Linked DNA regions of Schizosaccharomyces pombe. Each later gene encodes a partner of the first gene's protein in a complex. Each region holds a gene or a part of one and is shown in the gene's direction. Other genes may lie near its edges.

What was found.
Region 2: mrx14 (region 1) and mrpl27 share a complex: the UniProt entries of both Schizosaccharomyces pombe proteins name them as parts of the mitochondrial large ribosomal subunit.
Region 3: mrx14 (region 1) and mrpl23 share a complex: the UniProt entries of both Schizosaccharomyces pombe proteins name them as parts of the mitochondrial large ribosomal subunit.
Region 4: mrx14 (region 1) and mrpl22 share a complex: the UniProt entries of both Schizosaccharomyces pombe proteins name them as parts of the mitochondrial large ribosomal subunit.

Annotation. Positions count from the first base shown.
Region 1 is NC_003423.3:3,802,023-3,807,259, reverse strand, and holds mrx14 (mitochondrial 54S ribosomal protein bL34m), read left to right. Parts: upstream 1-2,231; 5' UTR 2,232-2,358; coding exon 2,359-2,685; 3' UTR 2,686-2,929; downstream 2,930-5,237. Other genes in the region: SPOM_SPBC21C3.06 (uncharacterized protein), read right to left, coding at 1-170; U2 snRNP-associated protein Sap62, read right to left, coding at 426-511, 575-1,016, 1,333-1,458; cqd1 (ABC1 kinase family protein ), read right to left, coding at 2,930-4,375, 4,431-5,063. UniProt on the Schizosaccharomyces pombe protein: Component of the mitochondrial ribosome (mitoribosome), a dedicated translation machinery responsible for the synthesis of mitochondrial genome-encoded proteins, including at least some of the essential transmembrane subunits of the mitochondrial respiratory chain.
Region 2 is NC_003424.3:1,431,671-1,435,534, reverse strand, and holds mrpl27 (mitochondrial ribosomal protein subunit L27), read left to right. Parts: upstream 1-2,136; 5' UTR 2,137-2,159; coding exon 2,160-2,336; exon of another isoform or gene 2,337-2,381; coding exon 2,382-2,486; 3' UTR 2,487-2,762; downstream 2,763-3,864. Other genes in the region: SPOM_SPAC3A12.08 (uncharacterized protein), read right to left, coding at 1-396; DNA-directed RNA polymerase II complex subunit Rpb11, read right to left, coding at 1,120-1,351, 1,398-1,487, 1,533-1,582; SPOM_SPAC3A12.06C (sodium/calcium exchanger), read left to right, coding at 2,880-3,864. UniProt on the Schizosaccharomyces pombe protein: Component of the mitochondrial ribosome (mitoribosome), a dedicated translation machinery responsible for the synthesis of mitochondrial genome-encoded proteins, including at least some of the essential transmembrane subunits of the mitochondrial respiratory chain.
Region 3 is NC_003423.3:4,217,659-4,221,677, forward strand, and holds mrpl23 (mitochondrial 54S ribosomal protein uL13m), read left to right. Parts: upstream 1-2,114; 5' UTR 2,115-2,244; coding exon 2,245-2,265; intron 2,266-2,307; coding exon 2,308-2,760; 3' UTR 2,761-2,958; downstream 2,959-4,019. Other genes in the region: mrz1 (ubiquitin-protein ligase E3), read left to right, coding at 1,016-1,822; scs2 (VAP family protein), read right to left, coding at 3,287-4,019. UniProt on the Schizosaccharomyces pombe protein: Component of the mitochondrial ribosome (mitoribosome), a dedicated translation machinery responsible for the synthesis of mitochondrial genome-encoded proteins, including at least some of the essential transmembrane subunits of the mitochondrial respiratory chain.
Region 4 is NC_003421.2:2,026,509-2,031,107, reverse strand, and holds mrpl22 (mitochondrial 54S ribosomal protein uL22m), read left to right. Parts: upstream 1-1,973; 5' UTR 1,974-2,077; coding exon 2,078-2,827; 3' UTR 2,828-2,934; downstream 2,935-4,599. Other genes in the region: helicase Hrr1, read right to left, coding at 1-1,453; SPOM_SPCC1739.01 (zf-CCCH type zinc finger protein), read right to left, coding at 3,778-4,599. UniProt on the Schizosaccharomyces pombe protein: Component of the mitochondrial ribosome (mitoribosome), a dedicated translation machinery responsible for the synthesis of mitochondrial genome-encoded proteins, including at least some of the essential transmembrane subunits of the mitochondrial respiratory chain.

The DNA of each region.
Region 1 (5,237 bases):
GTAATCAAAGTTGGATGCACCATTTTCTCAACAACTGGGTTTGGAGAAAAAAAATTAGGCCGTTTTAATATTGTCCGTTGTAGAACCCATGTAGACCAAAGGAAAGTTGAGCTAGATATCGCAAAAATCGCGTCCACTGTAGCGACATTTGCTAATTTATCGAACGCCATACAGTAGAAGTTAGCCAACTTTATCAATTGGTACTTCCACAAATCTGGGAAAATAAGTATATAAATCACCAAAATAGGTTTAGCTAGCACGGTTCTTCTACAATTCACGTGTGGAGAAACAATTCAGAATGATTGAGTTCGAATTCTTTTACACACATAAAGAACTGCGGTATTGATAAATTGGGAGACTGAGCGAAATATTTGGAAAAGACATTTTGTTTCATAAAAAGGAAATTTAGGATAGCAGCTCAAAATTTACGATATTTTTGTTAAGTTGTAAAAGAATTGGATAGTATATGTAGGTGCATCCCAATAACTCCAAAATTTCCCGGGTGCACGATCTATTTCGTGAGCATCTGCGCAACAAAGTTAATATAAATAAAAAATCAGTAAAACCAACATACCAATTTTAAAGGCTATTGATTCGTATGGTTCAGCAGCCACTACCAGATACTGAAACTTTCGGTCAGGAGCTTCAACACGCTGTTCATAAGCACTCATAATTCTGTATCTTGGCTTAGCGTTCACTTCAATATCTGGATACTTTATTTGGAAACGTAGGCCAAATTTTCCGCTTTCGGCTTCTCTTATTTTGGACACTTTATAACCGGGTCGACCAATTTTTACGACACTTTTTTTAACCTGGACATGGGATTGAGAAATGCCCAACAACACTTGTGGTGCATTCTCTTGAGACTTTTTATTTTCGAGAGCCTGTCTCCTGGCTAAATTTGTCTGGTGTTTTTTACCTTGTGTATGGGTAAGGTAAGAGTTTTCATTCGCATGTGTAGTGAGGCAAAGACGACATTCAAAAGTGCCTAAATGATTTTTCATCAAATATGGATCCTATAAGAGATTAGCAATAGAAATATCATCGCAAAGAGTTTGAGGAGGAAGCTTCAAGGTGATTGACAGGGTAAAAAAAAGATGTCCAATTAGTGTAACATGCAAAACAGCAAACAAGGAAGTAGAAAGCAAATCCTTTTCATTTATTATTGTTGTTATTTTAGTTGTTATAGTTAGCGAATTTAACAGCAACTACTAATAAACTTCAATAATATGTAACATACGTACATGTCTTACTTTACACGATTAATTCATCGGTAATTATAATTGACATTCAGCACTCAAATTTTCAGAATTCAGTGGTTTTTAAACATACCTTTGATAAATCAATGGTTTCTAGCGCCAATTTACGAAGACGCTCTCTACGTGCAGCATTTGTTTCTTGATAGCCAGCAACGCCTCCTCCTCCAAAACGAACACCTGCGCGGTTTTGATAATCCATTTTTTAGTTCCTAGAAAATCCAACACTTATTTTTCTGTACTTTCACAATGACAATAAAGTCCCCTAAAAGACGGTGGCAGAGGCTGTACTTTCGTGAACCCCTATGTTTAAAGAAATATCGCAATGCAGAACAATACGCTAAATTCTCATCGTCGATGCCTTTTTTTTAACAAATATTTTAAATAGCAGATTAGAGCTCCTTTTCTCCATTTTATTATGTCACGTAAAAACAAAAAAAAATAATAACTTTTGATAAATTTAATGTATTGATGCTCCCATATATGAGTATATTTAATATGCTTTCAATATTTAAAAAGCCGGGACTGCAGCAATTTGCTTCCAATTTAAAATACTGGGTATTATTAATAAAATAAAATAGATAAAAGAAAGTATAAGATGTCATTTAACTGCTAAAACCTTTTTTGTACTATAAATTATCACTTTTAGCCCATGAATCGAATTCATTAAACTGATGGATTTTACTATTTGGTAATCTCATGCCAATTATTTGTTGGGAAAAAGCAAAAGCGATATCAAATTTTAGGGGTTCAGGTTGCTTTCTTTAAGGGCGTATAAAGAATGGTTAATGAACTATTTATTAATAATAATAGTATTATTATTATATTACCGACATTCCAGTGAATTGAATGAAACTATTAAAACGTAGTTATTGGATTTTAGCAAAGATTTTAATTTATTGTAACACAAATATTTGAAATTTAACACTTCGAATGTCAAACGGTGCTACACTGATTCACTTCAACCTTTCTAATAACCAGCTACTCCATCACATCTCAAATCTCTTCATTTTGCACATTTACGTTCATATATAATTTTTATATTATTTTTTGAAATTTTTTCTCTTGAAATCCAGTCACCTGCTTTCATTCCTATTGCTTTATGATGTTTATGCAACAATTTCGAAATTTGTTGCATCCTGCCATGAAGGGAGCCAGGAATATTTCAATATTAGCTGGAGGAGGAACTATGAGAGGGTTTCCGACAAGAAACCCTTTTAATACCGCTACTTTATACAGTTCTTTACCGACTATGAACATCTTCGGTCAAATGCAGCAAGTGCGTTGGAAAACGTATGGAAACGAGTATCAACCCTCAAATAGAAAGCGTAAAAGAAAACACGGATTTTTATCTCGAATTCGTTCTGTTAACGGTCGTCGTGTTTTACGAGATCGAAGACAAAAAGGGAGGATGTATCTGAGCCATTGAGTACATATTATCTTTTAATGGGCTCTAATTTGCATTAGTAACCTCTATCAATTCTTCATTTAAGTAATGCTTTCTAGTTTGTGATACATTTTCTTTCCATTGGTTCTTTGTTTAATTTTACTTGTTGAACTTTGAACTTTAATAACTTCTTTAAAACACGAGTTTATAAAATTTATTTTCCATGTCTGCGACTATATTTTTCATGAACAATTTTCCATCATTTATAAAATAAACCGTAATTTTTTTATATATTGGGTGCGATCATATCGGACTTAACCCACTTTTCTACCGTTTCTTTAGAGGTGCTTAAAAGCAAAAATTGTCTAGCTTCTAAAGCTATCCATAATTGAACCATTGGGTTTGTGAGTGAGACATTGGATTTCGATGAAGCAGAACGAAGATATGGTGTAGCATTACTTAATAGATCCATTTCTGGATATAGTTGGCGTCCAGCGCCTTCAACTAAAAGGATAGATAGCACAGTATTTGCGAAATTTGCTTCAATTCGAACATGATGCTCTCTCGCCATAGTCATTACTTCTTGTAATATAGTTCCTATTTGAAGTGATTTCAGTGAAAGCGTGCTCTTTTGAATTTCATTCAACAAATGTTCCATTTTAAGAGCAAATATGTCTTTGTTTATAACGCGTTCTGTCTGCCTGCTCCTTTCAACCATCAACAGTCCAGCCTCATAGCCATGGAAAGTAAGTACGGCTTGAAACAGATCCAAAAAATTTTTCTGATCCTGCGTACTAAGTTTCGTTACTAATCCAGCATCCAAAAATACTAAAGTCGGTCGATAGCCCAAGATGTTTAATTCTTCCATAGCAGAATCCCATTCCTCCGTCGAACATGTACTTAGAATTTTATAAATTGAGTCATTAATCTCATTATCTTGATTAAAGATTGTTTTAGGGATTCCTTTGTAAAATTTAACAAGGACATTACCCGGATGAAGATCAGCATGTGTAAAGTTGTCAACAATAAGCATTTGAAATAATGCATTATTTCCTGTGTTAGCTAACAACTTGTTAAATGGTCCTGACTTATGTTTGAGGAACGCGCTTAATGGGATACCCGGCATATAGTCTTCTAGTAGGATTTGATTAGTCGTGTAATCATCATAGGGAGCTGGAAATTCAACATATCTATTTCCTCTAAAGTTAAGACGGAACTGGTTGAGATGAAGCGCCTCATAATGTAAATTCAATTGCTGGTTTAACATTGCCCCAAATACCTTAACTTCGTCGGGCAGAGAAAGCCACTTCATTGAAGGTACCAAATTAATTAATTTTGCGAAGAAACCTAAGATTTGTAAGTCTAAAGAAATGTATTTTTCAACATTCGGGTGCAAAACTTTAATGGCTACATCTTGAGTCACTGGCGCATCAGAGATATTTTTCTGTCGAAACCCTATAGATTGTAGCATACTTGTAAAGTAGGAATTATCTTGCTGCGTAGCTGCTTTCTTGATGGTAGCCGTATAGACTTGAGCAATTGCTCCAACACCTATAGGTATTGGGTTAAAATTAACAAAAATTTCCTCGATAGATTCCACTTTATAAGTCTTGCAGATGACTGATTGAGTATAGGCAAGGCTGTGGGGCGTTACATGTGAATGTAATTTGGACAGTGTTTTACAGAAAGCAGGAGGAAACAAATCTGTCCGTGAAGCAGCCCATTGTCCCAACTGCAAAATAAAAAAATAATGTTAGTAACATGATAAGCGTAAATTCAAAACGTACCTTGATAAACGTTGCTCCTGCTCTTTCTAATTGAGTAACGAGGAAACGAAGCCAAATGGATACGGTTAAAGACGACAAAGATCGAAGATGCAGGAAAGAAATAAGAGCGATAAACGGTAAGGTAATAATAATTGGAGAGAAAATAATAAATAAATTAAATGACCTGAGGAGAATATTAAAAAATTGTTTTATTTTTCCAAAAATAGAACGAGGTCGATTGCTTCTCTCTTCTAATTCAAGTTCGTCAAAGGAGAAAATATTATTCTTTCGATTTTTGACTCTGTATAAAATCCATAATCCTCCGACCGTAAAAGGGAGGACAAGAAATGTAATCCTTAGTATCCTCCATTGCTTCTGGTCTTCACTTTTTTGTCGGGTTGTAAACTTTCTTGCAAATATAGGTTTGGGGAATAAAGATATATGCTTCAATCGATTAACCAGTACGTGCTTTTTTTTGTATGGTGACCAAACTGACTGTGTCCCGCATAACCTTTTCCATCTTGTGTTCTGCGAGTTAACGACAGGAATATAATTTCTTTGAATAATGAAAGCAAAACGAGAGTTTGCAGAAGGAATCATGCTTAGACTAAGTCCCGAACGTATGTGAGAATTCCAGTGAGAAAAACTAATCATGTTCACCAATTATTGACTTTCAGAAGAGCATTTCCTTATCAAGAATCAAAAAAATAAATAAACTAATTACAATGGGTATTTTCGATTGAAAACACTGGCAAACCTGATAAAGAAAATAGGAATTGTTCAATAAATGTGTATAGCAGCTACTAAAAGAGGTGTTTCAAAGAATTT
Region 2 (3,864 bases), on another chromosome or scaffold:
TGCAATGGCGCCCCCATGAGCCAGTTTCTGATATCCTGTCAAAGCCTTACCCATGAGTCCAATGCTGATCCATTCTTCATGTTCGGGGTCATAAAATGTTTTAAATACAGGTATCAATCCATCTTTAAAGGAAAGAAAATTGGAAGGATACTTAGATTGAAGCAAGGACGGATGCTCCTCCATTTTCATGCTGCGTTGACGTTCGCGATAAATGTTATCAATCATTTGAACAGCTTCAGGCGATTTCGAAATTTCAGAAATATGTTTCGCACTTGCTGGTAGTCGATGATATGCTGTATAGGCATCACTGGAAACAACCCAAGAAGCTAGACCGCCTACCATAAATCCCCCAATCCCTGCTAATAACAGCTTATTTTGAAATAATTTAGAGCTCATAATCAAAAATTGAACAAAGTTTCAAACTTTTCGTCACAATGTAATAGGAGCGTTTACTATTAGCGATATTCGGACGTTATAAAACTGATACGCAGATGGAGCATATGTGCAAAGCATAGGGTATCATTAATTTATGCAAGAATATTTATCGTATATTTTAAGAAAATATAATTACTTACATATCCAAAAAGTATTCTATAATAATAACTAATACAGGAATAAACAAATTTCGTAATGCAATTGAAGCAAAGCATTTGGAGAGAAAATGATGATTGTGAATAATTCAATGACATAAATTGTAATAGTACAACATTAATTAATTTATTTCTTTTAAGATTGAATGTAAGAATCGATGCTCTGCCCTACTGTAGGAAATTAATCACTTCGATTACATTCAGCAAAATTCAACTTTGAAAAAAAAAGCAATATCAGAGAATAATCCAGGTACCTAGAAAAACTTTCATCGCCATTGCTGCAGTTTTCTAGTTGGTTTATGAAGAAGCATATACAATAAAAGATCGGAGAACTTTCACCTTTTTTAAAGCATCTGTTTTCAAAAAAGAAAGAAACTTTTATTTTCCCTTTTAATACGACTTCGGTCCAAATTACAGAAGTTGCGAAAACGAAAGTCAAAATTTTTGTAATAAAGATGCATACAGAGGGTATTCTGTATTTTTTGAAACAAAACTCTAATAAATATTAGAGAAAAAGCAGCCGTGGATTTTAGGAAAACTCCATTTCAACGCCTTCAACAGATATCATTTTCAACTCCCATTCACGCATAAAATTAACTTTGATTTCTTCCAGATGAGTAATAAGGGACTTAGCAGCATCAACAATAACCTGCTTTGGAGAACAATCTTCTACGGTTTGTACACGAAGTATGAAATTGTGATTTAATGGATGAGGAACTTTGTAACCAGCAAAAAGAACCCTTTCGTCAGATAGGAGTTGACTTCGAAAAAGCAGTTAGAAAAGAAAAAAAAATTTAGAAGTCTTACTTTGCAAGCATATTAGCCAATGTATGATCCTCTTTTTCAAGAGTAACTACTGCGGCATTAGGTGATTTGCTATCGAGCTCATATGTGACTCTACACTGGTTAATGCAATTCCTTGTAAAATTGTTTATTCCTTACTTGGGGAGTCCCATAAGCTCAATGAGCTCATACCGTTCTGGCTGATTCATTATGCCAACGTTTTCAGCCGACTAGCTGAAGAAGAAGTAAGATGTTGATGCTTACGAGGGTTTTGTCCACGTTCTGTACATTAAGCATCACTATAAATCGTAATGCCATTTAACAAAAGCTTTAACACTTTATTCCACAACTCATCGTATTTCGTTATAAATAACGCGAACGTGAACGGACACTTAATATATATTTATCTGTTGGAAATCGGCTCAAACGAGTAATGAAATGGGAGATGTAACAGTATTTTTTAATAACTGATTTTAATAACTAAAATTTTTAAAGGCATATTTTGAGGCGTTTAATTGTAGATTAACCGTACTTGTTTTCATTGAACTGTGCAGAAAGATAAACAACAAGAAAGCTCATTTAAATGTTGAAAAAAAAATAGTTTTTCGTACTTATTTCATTTTTTAGTTTCATAATGTAATTCGTTTGTTCGTTTTAAACAAATATTTTTATTGTTTACATTCTATGTTTCGCTTTGACTGTTACCTTATACCGTTACCTTTTCTTTTATGACGGAAAACGCGCCAACTTAAACCCTCCATTTACCCAAATCGAGAGTTATTCAAAATGCATCAATCATTATTATGTTTTGGAGCAAGACGCTTGCCAATGACCACAAAGTTGGGTCATCAGTATTACAAGGGTACAAGAACTGGGAAAATGGGTCAAAAAACCAGGCATGGAGGTTTTCTTGTCCAGTGGTCGCGTGTTCGCACGTTTGTGCCTCCTTCTGGTGATTGTGAGGTATGTTGTAAATTAATGAATATTGTTTTATATTAACTTTCAAAGCTTTTGCCTTTTGTTTCTCGTCGAATTCAAGCCACTAAAGGAACTTATCCTGAAGGTGCAAATGGGTTGGATGGAGCTGTGTATTTTGATCTTGCTCATAGCTAGTATGTTTATCAGCCTCATTCTTTATTGTTTTGAAAAATTTTGGTACCCTTTTCAACTGTTGCTTTATTCTATCTGTTAATGATTGGGCATACACTTTGAAAGGAGAAATTTCTACGTTACGATACCTTATGTTGCGTTGACTGTTGTTATTTATTGTTTACGGACACGTATATTTATCGATATTCTGTTGTGACGTTTGCTTCTATTAAATATACTAGTTACATTCTTACTTTTTCTGCCAAAATTGGGGGCAATCTTGAGTACTGCGCATTTATATATTTATTATAGGATTAGTCTTTTTCATCCCATCTATCTTAGAAAAAAAAGGGCTGCTAATACCTAGCAATGCGGTTTAAGCATGGATTTTCTATATCTTGGATATCAGGTATAAAAATGTCGAAAACTTCATGTTTCTTGAAGAAATACAGACTAATATTACTTTGGTGTATCCTTGGCATTGCCTACATTTTATTCTGGACTCATCGGATTAGCAAAGCGTTTGCTTCAGTATCCTCGACTTCGGACTCAACCGTCCATCTTTTTGAGCGCGGAAATACCTTAAATGATAGCAACGACCAAATTTTACTTACATGCAATGATATCAAAAACATTACCCCTGCTAATCAATGTCGGTTTGCAAAGGCTTACTGTAAGGGAGAGGCTAGTGGGTTCTTTGATTACGTTGAATTTTATTTTTGTACCATTAACAGTCTCCGATTCCCAGTGTTATCAATAATTGTGGGATGGCTGATTTTCCTTTTCATAACTATCGGAATTTCTGCTAGTGATTTTTTTAGTACCAATTTGGTTACTATTTCGTGGCTACTTCAATTGCCCGATTCTGTGGTTGGCGTTACTTTTCTTGCTTTAGGCAATGGATCTCCTGATATTCTTAGTACGTTCGCTGCTGTACGTGTCAACAGTGGGGGAATGGCTATTGGGGAACTTTTGGGCTCTGCATTCTTCATCGTAGCCATAGTTGCTGGCAGCGTATGTTTAATAAAGCCATTTAAAATACCTCGGCGTCACTTCCTTCGGGATGTTGCTTTCCTTACCGGTACTATTTTACTTGTTATAATGTTTGTTTTGCATGATGGTTCGTTGAGTATTTGGCAGAGTCTCGTAATGATACTTTATTATCTACTCTACGTTCTTTTCGTCTTTTTCTCTGGTAGCTCTGGTGTTAGCGTGGTAATCACTGATGAGAATTATTTGCCTGTCTCCCTTCCAGTCTACTCACCGGTTTTAAATTCTTTCGATGACTCGGATTCCTATAGTAGCACGGATTCTGAATTATCCGAAGAGGCATTTCTCTTGCCTGCCCAAGCATCTAGAAAGACCCAAAAAATACATTACATTAACGATAATGACCCTTCAA
Region 3 (4,019 bases), 420 kb from region 1:
GTTCATTTTGTTTTGGAGAATGCAAAATCGAGTTCGCTCTAAACAATTCTTTTAAGCAATAATCTTAAAAGGCAAATATTGAAATCAAAGATACGTAGCTGTTTCAACTATAAACAAGTACATTCCAAATTTTAAATCTAGAGATTAGGGTTTTCCACGGTAGTTTAAAGAGCGAAAAGGCATTCAGATGAACAAAAGATGCTAAGTTTTTTAGCTAAACCCGCTTATACTTTCTTATTTCTCGAGGACTTTAGCCTCTCTACTTACCTAAAAGTTTCTGTACAGTGCAATACAGGTTACTTCGTTATATTTTTTAACTGTTGACTACGCAGTTCGGTATCTGTTTAACGATACGAAAAATTGCGGTACGTTTCTCTAGCGACCTACAATATAGCGGTATGCAATATTTAACTAACAATGTATATTTATTGTTATAAGAAGTCTATTAGTATCGGTCACCGATATAGCTAATAACTGAGCTGAGGAACGAGGTTCAGTGGTAGCTCTATTTACAATCTTTCTAATAGTTTTTAGCAATTTATTTATGTATGCAGAAAAGCAATTTATCCGCATCTATCAGCAAACGAATCTTAAGTAATATCTTAGCATATGACATATAGTGATACGCAACGTACTGTATCATAGCTAGTGTAGTTCTGCTAACATTAACATGTACTTCTTTGTTTGTATTATGCATATAGCATTAACCGCGTTAAGCTAAGTTAACGTTACGAAGAGCGTACAGAAGAGATTCAGTTTAGTAACTGCGAATTGTTAATTGTTCTCATAACTTAGCCTACATCTAGTGTAAGACGACGATTGTGAAAATTCACCTTAAAAAATTCAACAAGTCTTGCAAATTATGACTTGAATAATTTTCCATTAAGAAGAATAAGCACACAATGTTTTTTGATGACAAGATAACTTGACATTCTGCCATTCATGCGGTTTCATACACATCAATTAATTTAGTGCATAAATACAATATAACAAGTTATTAAATTTTAGAAGAAGAATGAAAAAGCAATTCCTTGTACGTAAAAACTCGTCAAATTCTCGCTACCTTCGTCGAGATTGCGTTATATGTTTACAAAAAGATGGTCTTCGGGCACAGCTATCTCCATGTGGGCATGACCAGTTCGATTATTCTTGCATATGTCGCTGGATGGATCAATCCTTGACATGTCCCATCTGTAAGAGACACGTAGATTGTGTGTTTTATGGATTTCATGGGTCAAGTTTGTATAAGAAGTGGTATACTCAATCTTTGGGGTCAAATCAGTATTCGATTTCACGACAATTACTACGGCAGCCTTCATTTTCCTCCAGCGAAAACACTGACAGATTGGCCGATTTGCTACGCGTACGACGTTTCATCTATCAAAAGGCATGGAAAAGCTATGAAAATCCCTCGCTTTCATCACATAGGCAATATCAAATACCCACTCCTATCCAACTAGCTTCTAGCGCATCTTTATTAAAGAAAGTGGAAAGCTTTATTGCTAAAGAACTTCTCTTGTTTGAATATTTAGATGGACATCAAATTAACTTTATACAAATCTTTTTGATGGGTCTCTTACGAGTTCAGAATATTCAACATCCACAAACCATTGATGAATTAGCGGAATTTATAGGCCATGAAGAGTCCTCTATACTCCTCCATGAATTGCAAAGATATTTACAATTCCGTCCATTGTCGATAAGCAGCTACTTGTATAGCAAGCGATATTTGTATGGTCCGGAAGGCTTAACAATGGTTCAGCTGTTGAGTCAAATTGAAAACATTCAGCATGAATCTGGTCCTGAGACGGAAAATTCGTAATCAAGCGTTAATTGTATATTATTGCAATTTACTGTGATTCTTTGGGCTTATCAAAAATTAGTTTTATCATTGTATCGTTCATTGCCTTATTTTTTCTAATATATACAAATGGTATTTTTTGAAGCAATAGCTATTAGCTTTATCATGATTAGTAAAGGAGGTTCGTATTATGAATTGAAAAATCAATATTTAAGAAATAATAAATAAAACAACATTTTTGAAAAATAGAAATTTTGTAGGTAACAGTTACCTTACTACAGTTGCTTAGCATCCAATATTTACCCACACCTACAAGCTTGAGGAAACATTATTTGAGCAATTTTCCTACTTCTCTTTTATTAGAAACCACTGATATTGTACTGTCGCTTTAAGAGAAAAATCAGAAGGAACTGAGGATTTTATGATATAGAAATCTCAACGCGATGTCAACGTTGAATGGACAAGTATGAAATTAGTTTGACAGTTTCTTTTACTAACAATATCAGACAGCATTGGCTTACGCCAAAGTTTGGCATCATGTTTCTGCAAAAAATGTTCCTCTAGGTAGGCTGGCTTCCCAAATTGCAACTACTCTTATGGGCAAGCACAAACCCATTTATCACCCTGCAGCAGACTGTGGAGATGTCGTAGTAGTCACTGACTGTTCTGAAATTGGGATTTCTGGTCGAAAACTCGAAAATCATAAATATTATTCACATTCGGGTCAGCCTGGTCATCTTAAAGAGTGGACGATGGAAGAAATGGCTGCGAAACGGGGGCACAAGGATTTGTTGAGAAGAGCAGTTGGTGGAATGCTTCCAAGAAATAAGCTTTGGGATAGGAGAATGAAACGTCTTTATATTTACGATGGAGCTGAACACCCTTATAAGGCAAACATATTTCGTTCCTACCATAATCCTGTAAGTTCGCAAATTGCGAAGGAATTATTCTCGAAATAAGTGTTTAAAATCTCCTTTAATTTTAAAAGGTAGTTCAAAGAACAAAAGCCATATCCCTACTCACTTAAATTTCATTGATTTTTTGCATTAATGTTTGAACATTCCACAATGTCGTATGCCCTAAAAAGCTAACACATTTTAATATTGTTCTTTCCAAAAAAAATTATTTTATATAAATTAATGTTATTGTATTCACTATAAGAAGCTGTAATGTATTTAAAGACACATTTACGTTTGTGAACTGGTAAGAATGAATGTCTGGTAACCATAAGAGGACTACAACTTTTCTTGCGAGTAAAAAGTAGATAACATGAGACGTCGACATAAATAACGACATTTGGAAATTATCTCCAAAGCCAGATAAACGCGCTAAAAAGTACCCTATCGTTGTGAAGAGCAAACAAATTCAACAAACGTCAACCTAAAACCTTGCTTAGCAAAGGCCATATAAAGTAATAAAATCAAGAGCCATTAACTTAGGGAGAAGATTTTACACTTCTTATTAAACATATCTACGCTTTACATTTTAAAAGAAAAGATAGCCAATAAGGAAGAAAATCAGGCAAAGAATGATAACAATATTGGGAGGAATTCCTGGAGATTCGGTTAAAGAAGCACCAGTGGAACTCGAAGGGTCAGCTGAATAAGAGGGCTTGATTTGTTCCAAGGCGTTGTCGGAACTATGAGCACCTGCAGCAGGTTTTGCCCCTTGTAAAGATTCACGAGTTTCAGATCCGAGATTTTCAGAAACTTTTTCAACGGCAGGGGTAGATTCAGGAAGTTTAGAATCGAAATCATTCTTCTTAGTATCAAATTCTTCATTGACAGCTGATAAATTTTGGGGGACGGGAGGAGGGGGGTGGACTGGTGGAGTCGAAGAAACAGAGCGACGAGGGCTTTCTGAAGGCTTTGGAATTTCATTATCAATAATATCTTGTACCTTCGATCTAGCAACATCGGCTCCTTTGGAAGAAGCACTTTCGGCTGTCACAATGGTATCTTTGACAGAAGCAGCACCATTGTCAGCATCAGTAACAACGGTTTGAACTACACTGGCGTCGGGAATTTGTGCACTTTCGAAAGTAGAGCGGAAGGTACTATCTGGAACAACAGTATTAACACCATTGCTTAAATGATCCTTTGCTCCATTGAAGTCATTTTGAGCTTCATCCAAAGACACACCAACCGCCGTAGGGCCGCCGACAGAAGATGCTAAGTTTTCGGAACCTTCAACAGAAACAGGGGGGTTAGAAGTACTA
Region 4 (4,599 bases), on another chromosome or scaffold:
GCTTTTTGTGACGAATCTCATTATAAGCAGCCTTAAATGAATGCTTGGTGTGCTTTGCTTTTTGAAAAATCGTAACCGCTGCAATCTCAGGATCCTTCGTTCTTGAACCTAGTCGCATTACTGAAGCGCCTTGATGCAATAAACGAATCAATATTTGATCGACTGCATGATTCGTTTGGCAAGCTACTAAAATCGGAAGAACATGGGAGTGAGTATTCTCAAGTAATGTTTCTATGGCTTTAAGAGTAACAAAGCTTTTACCAGTCCCTGGAGGGCCTTGAATAATGGAGAGTCTCTTAGTCAGCATGGACTGGTAAGCTTTTAACTGTGACGAGTCTAGTATATACTCGCCAGGACCGAACGGCTCAAGAGCATTTACGATTTTTTGAGAGTTATTTTTTAAGATAGAATTTATGCGTATCCTAGGATTATTTTGTATGTGTTTAGCAGTCTCCTGATTACTTTTACAGTGTACCAAGTAATCCTTCATCGGGAATGTGCTAGCAGAAAGCCTCTGTAATGAACGAAGAACATGCTTGTAAGCTTCCCAATAGCCTGAAGTAGCTTCGATCATAACATATTCTTCTCGAGGATCTAAAGAGATACTAATATCTTCAAATTTGACATCTATTTCATGAGGATGTTTATTAAGGCCACTCAAGGGCCGCGCACAGACAGTTCCAATGCGAAAAGTCTGGAAATCATCATTGCTTAATAAAACTAAAGATCCACTGATAAGACGACGACTGGTAGCCCATTTTATTTTTTTCTTAGCGCGAACACTGAAGGATAATTTTGCAGCTATAACACTGGAAGATATTGTATAGCCATCTATCCGCACATGATCATATACGGCTAACGAAGAGCCGGTAATGTAATTGGGGTTTACCTTGTACCGAAGCACACTTTCTCGTAATGGGGAAACTGCGTCCTCACGTAGCAACCGATAGTGTATAGATAAGTAATCTTCAAAGGACTTGTATCCTCCGTATATGTTGTTTGAAGGTAATTCAACACTCTTTGACGTCAATTCTTCCAACGTTGGAATTGATGGTAGTTCCCGCCAAGAAGAAGTATCGCTTGCGGGATGGTGTTCGTTTTCGAATTCTCTATTTTTTCCCGATGTTATATCATTTCTCTTTACATTACTCAATTCATAATCGTTGTCAATGCTTCTCTTACGACGTATTGACTTGTTTTCTTTTAAATTTTTATCAACTTTGTTCCCCTCCGAGTCTTGGGTTTTGGAGGTTTCAGAAGTCTCGATTTGTTCTGTGAAACTCGTAGTATTATTATCGGCGTTAAAGATGTTGCTATACAATGGGTGTCTTTTCATTTCACTTAAAGTTTCTGGCTCGGGGATTTCATCAAACACAACTTCTGTATTTTTGTTCACCATTTCCCAGGCGTCCAGCGTACTTAACTTCCAAATTTCATCTTGTACTTGTTCCATAATAAAAAAGAAAAGGATAATATCCAAAAAATTTCAAAAGGTTATTGTACTAAAATATCTCAGTACGCGCCCACTAGGTCGTAATATTAATCTCGTCCTCCCCAAAGAAGCTAAAAGATATCATAAATAACAATTCATGTACAGTCTCTGCACCTGTCTCTAATATTATTTGTCTAACATACAAATGGGTTGTTTGTTTACTGCCAAGGGCCGTTTTCTGTCTTTACGTGACCATGCATTTAACGCGTTCAGATAATACCCGCAATGTGCAGCTTAGTGTGCCAGCATAAAGCATGTAAGCATGTGTTAACATCGTTGTAAAGTTACCTTATCGTAGTTTATCCATCCTTGAAATAGATTTACAAACTGAGTAGCTTGCATAGTGATAGTGAGCTCTCTCATTTAAGATTTTTATAACTGTATAAGGAGGGAAATGCTAACTGACCTATAACATAGTACAGTTAGCAATTCGTTAGGTTGCAATTCCTATTAGTACCACCTTGGCATGTAATATTTACCTGGTTTTGTTACAACATTGAGAAAGCGCATTTGCTCAAATTAGTCGAAAACGTTGACTTCTATGTGTGGAAGGAATATTTGGGAAAAAATTTTTAAGATTTAATTATGAAATACATTAATCAATTTATGAAAATATCAAAGGGCTTTTTAGTTCCATCGTCCACGATAGGATTGAATTCTAAAACGTACCATTACAAATTTCCATTACTTTCTTTTGTTAGAGAATTTTCAAATGGATCCTACTTAAGGGAGTCTGCACAAAATCCTGCAAATTTGGGTTCGCAAAAAGGGTCCGACATTTTCTCAATGCTTGCTAACCAGAAGGACGATTCTAATCGTCAGCAAAAGGAAGAGCGTGTAAAAGAGAGACCAAGGTCACGTATTTCTTTCAAAAAACAGGAGACCATGGATCCTTCCTACACCTTACAATCAATGGTGCTTCGCTCCTCTTTAAAGAAAGTCGGCGCTTTGTGTCGTCAAATTGCCCATAAGCCATTTTATCATGCTTTACTTCAAATGAAAATGTCAGATAAAAAAATTTCCAAGTACATCGCAACTGCTTTGGTTTCTGCTCGAGAAAACGCTGTTCGTGAAGCTGGTCTTGATGAGAGTACTCTCTACGTTGATCAAATATGGGTTGGAAAGGCAAAGTATTTAAAGAAACTTATCACTATGGGCCGTGGAGGTCGTGCCATTGAGAGATCTCCACGGGTTCGAGTTACTGTTGTTTTAAGAGATGAGCGAGCTCTCTTGCGCGATTTACAGCGTCGTCAACAAAGACTAGAAAGAAAGAAAGTTTGGACGCCTCTGCCTAACCGACCAATATACCTAAAATCTAACTTTTTCACTTGCTAAGTCATTATTGAGATGCCCATATCTTTGATACTCTAATAATATTTCCCCCCAATATCGTTTATAGTAATTCTAGTGCCGTTTTTTTTTTATGAGAATATGGTTTCCCTTATTATTTATTTCTTTAGCAACGCCATAATTTTGTATTTACCTCTATGGTGCTGATGGTATCAGTAGAAAAATAGTACTGTAAAAAGGTAAACTAACCAACCTGTACATACATCACTTTTAGTTCAATGATACGTTTTCGTAAAGAACGCAATTCTTTTTAAACTGTCTAATCTTATTAAATCATTCATGCAATCGTTTGCCTCATTAACATTTTTCAAATTTGGTTTGAAGCATTGCAACGAGCTTCTTTTTTTGACTTTTCAAAACGTGCTTTGGACCATATGTTGAAGCTATCCATATCTCTTCACCATTTTGACACATATTTATTGGTTCTAAATTCATCAGACACTTTTAAACAATCAAGCAAACCGAGTATAAAATATCATTAATTCCCCAATTATTAGGTGTAAAGGTACGCTGGATCCGCATTTTAACTCATTTGCAGTAGCAAATGATCAGTAGGAAAAAAAAGGAAACAAACCGCATCAAATAGACAGTAATTCTTTTTAATGGGCCATAATGAAAAAATAAGTTGAGATAGTAAATGTATCAACTATATTAACTTGAACCACAACAATGAGTTTTTTTTTTTAAACTGTGGGTAAAAATTAATTTAGAGAAAATCAGTGTTTTCATTTAAGAATGTTTGGAAATAGAAAAAAAAATTTCGCATATTTAAACAAGACGTTTTGCAGGGTCATATGTTGCTAACCCCAATTTAAAAACATATTGAAAACATGCGATAAGCACAGAGAAAATAAAAAATATGATAACTATCAATAATAATGCATAATTTAATAAAACATTTCAAGCTTTTTGTAAATTTTTCGACGGCATTCATTTTAATCATCCATTTGGAATGGCGTCTCTTCTTCCACCGTACTATTCCACGGAGGAGAACTATTAGCAACGGTTATACGTGATACGCTATTATTGGTACTCACGACAGGATCATTTTTTGTATCACCAAGACCAGCGATGGTTTCCGGAGATGCTGTATCACTTCTAAAAATAGGCTCGCTCTTCAATCGAGCAAGACTCACAGGTCTTGAACCTTCAGTGGTTGGCGAGCTGAAGACGGCCTCTTCACGAACACTAAAACCTGAAGGTAACTTATAAGAGTTATTGACACTAGTGGCTAAGGGCGTGGTAGACATTGAACCCGAACCTTCAACATAACGAGACTTGGAGAAGTATGCGCCGAACCTACTACTGTTTAACGAATTCATAGTAGAGCTGGTCCGAGTACTTAAACCAGGACTTTTCAAGGAAGAAGTGTACTGCTTAAAGCTTGAACTTAATCGATTGATAGGTGATGAGCCCAAAATGCTTTCATCAAAGCTTCCTAAAGGCGTACTTAAAAAGCGCTGCTCCTCATCACTAACGTCCATTTGATGATTCAAATCTACTTTAGTGGGCAAGCTAGCACTAACCACTGAAGGAAATGCGCCAGCATAGGAATTACTACGAGGTACCTGTCGTCGTTGATTTATTCCCGAGCCAAGTGATAAGTTGCCAAGTGATTGATCGAGTGTAAGTCGAGGACGGGATAAAGAAACACCGGTTTTGGGAGCAAGAGGCGGGCTTTGTAATGGTAGAGATGCTTTTAATGGGTCTTGGCTTGTTAATCTAGATAAGGAAGACAACGTATCAGTGGAAGAACA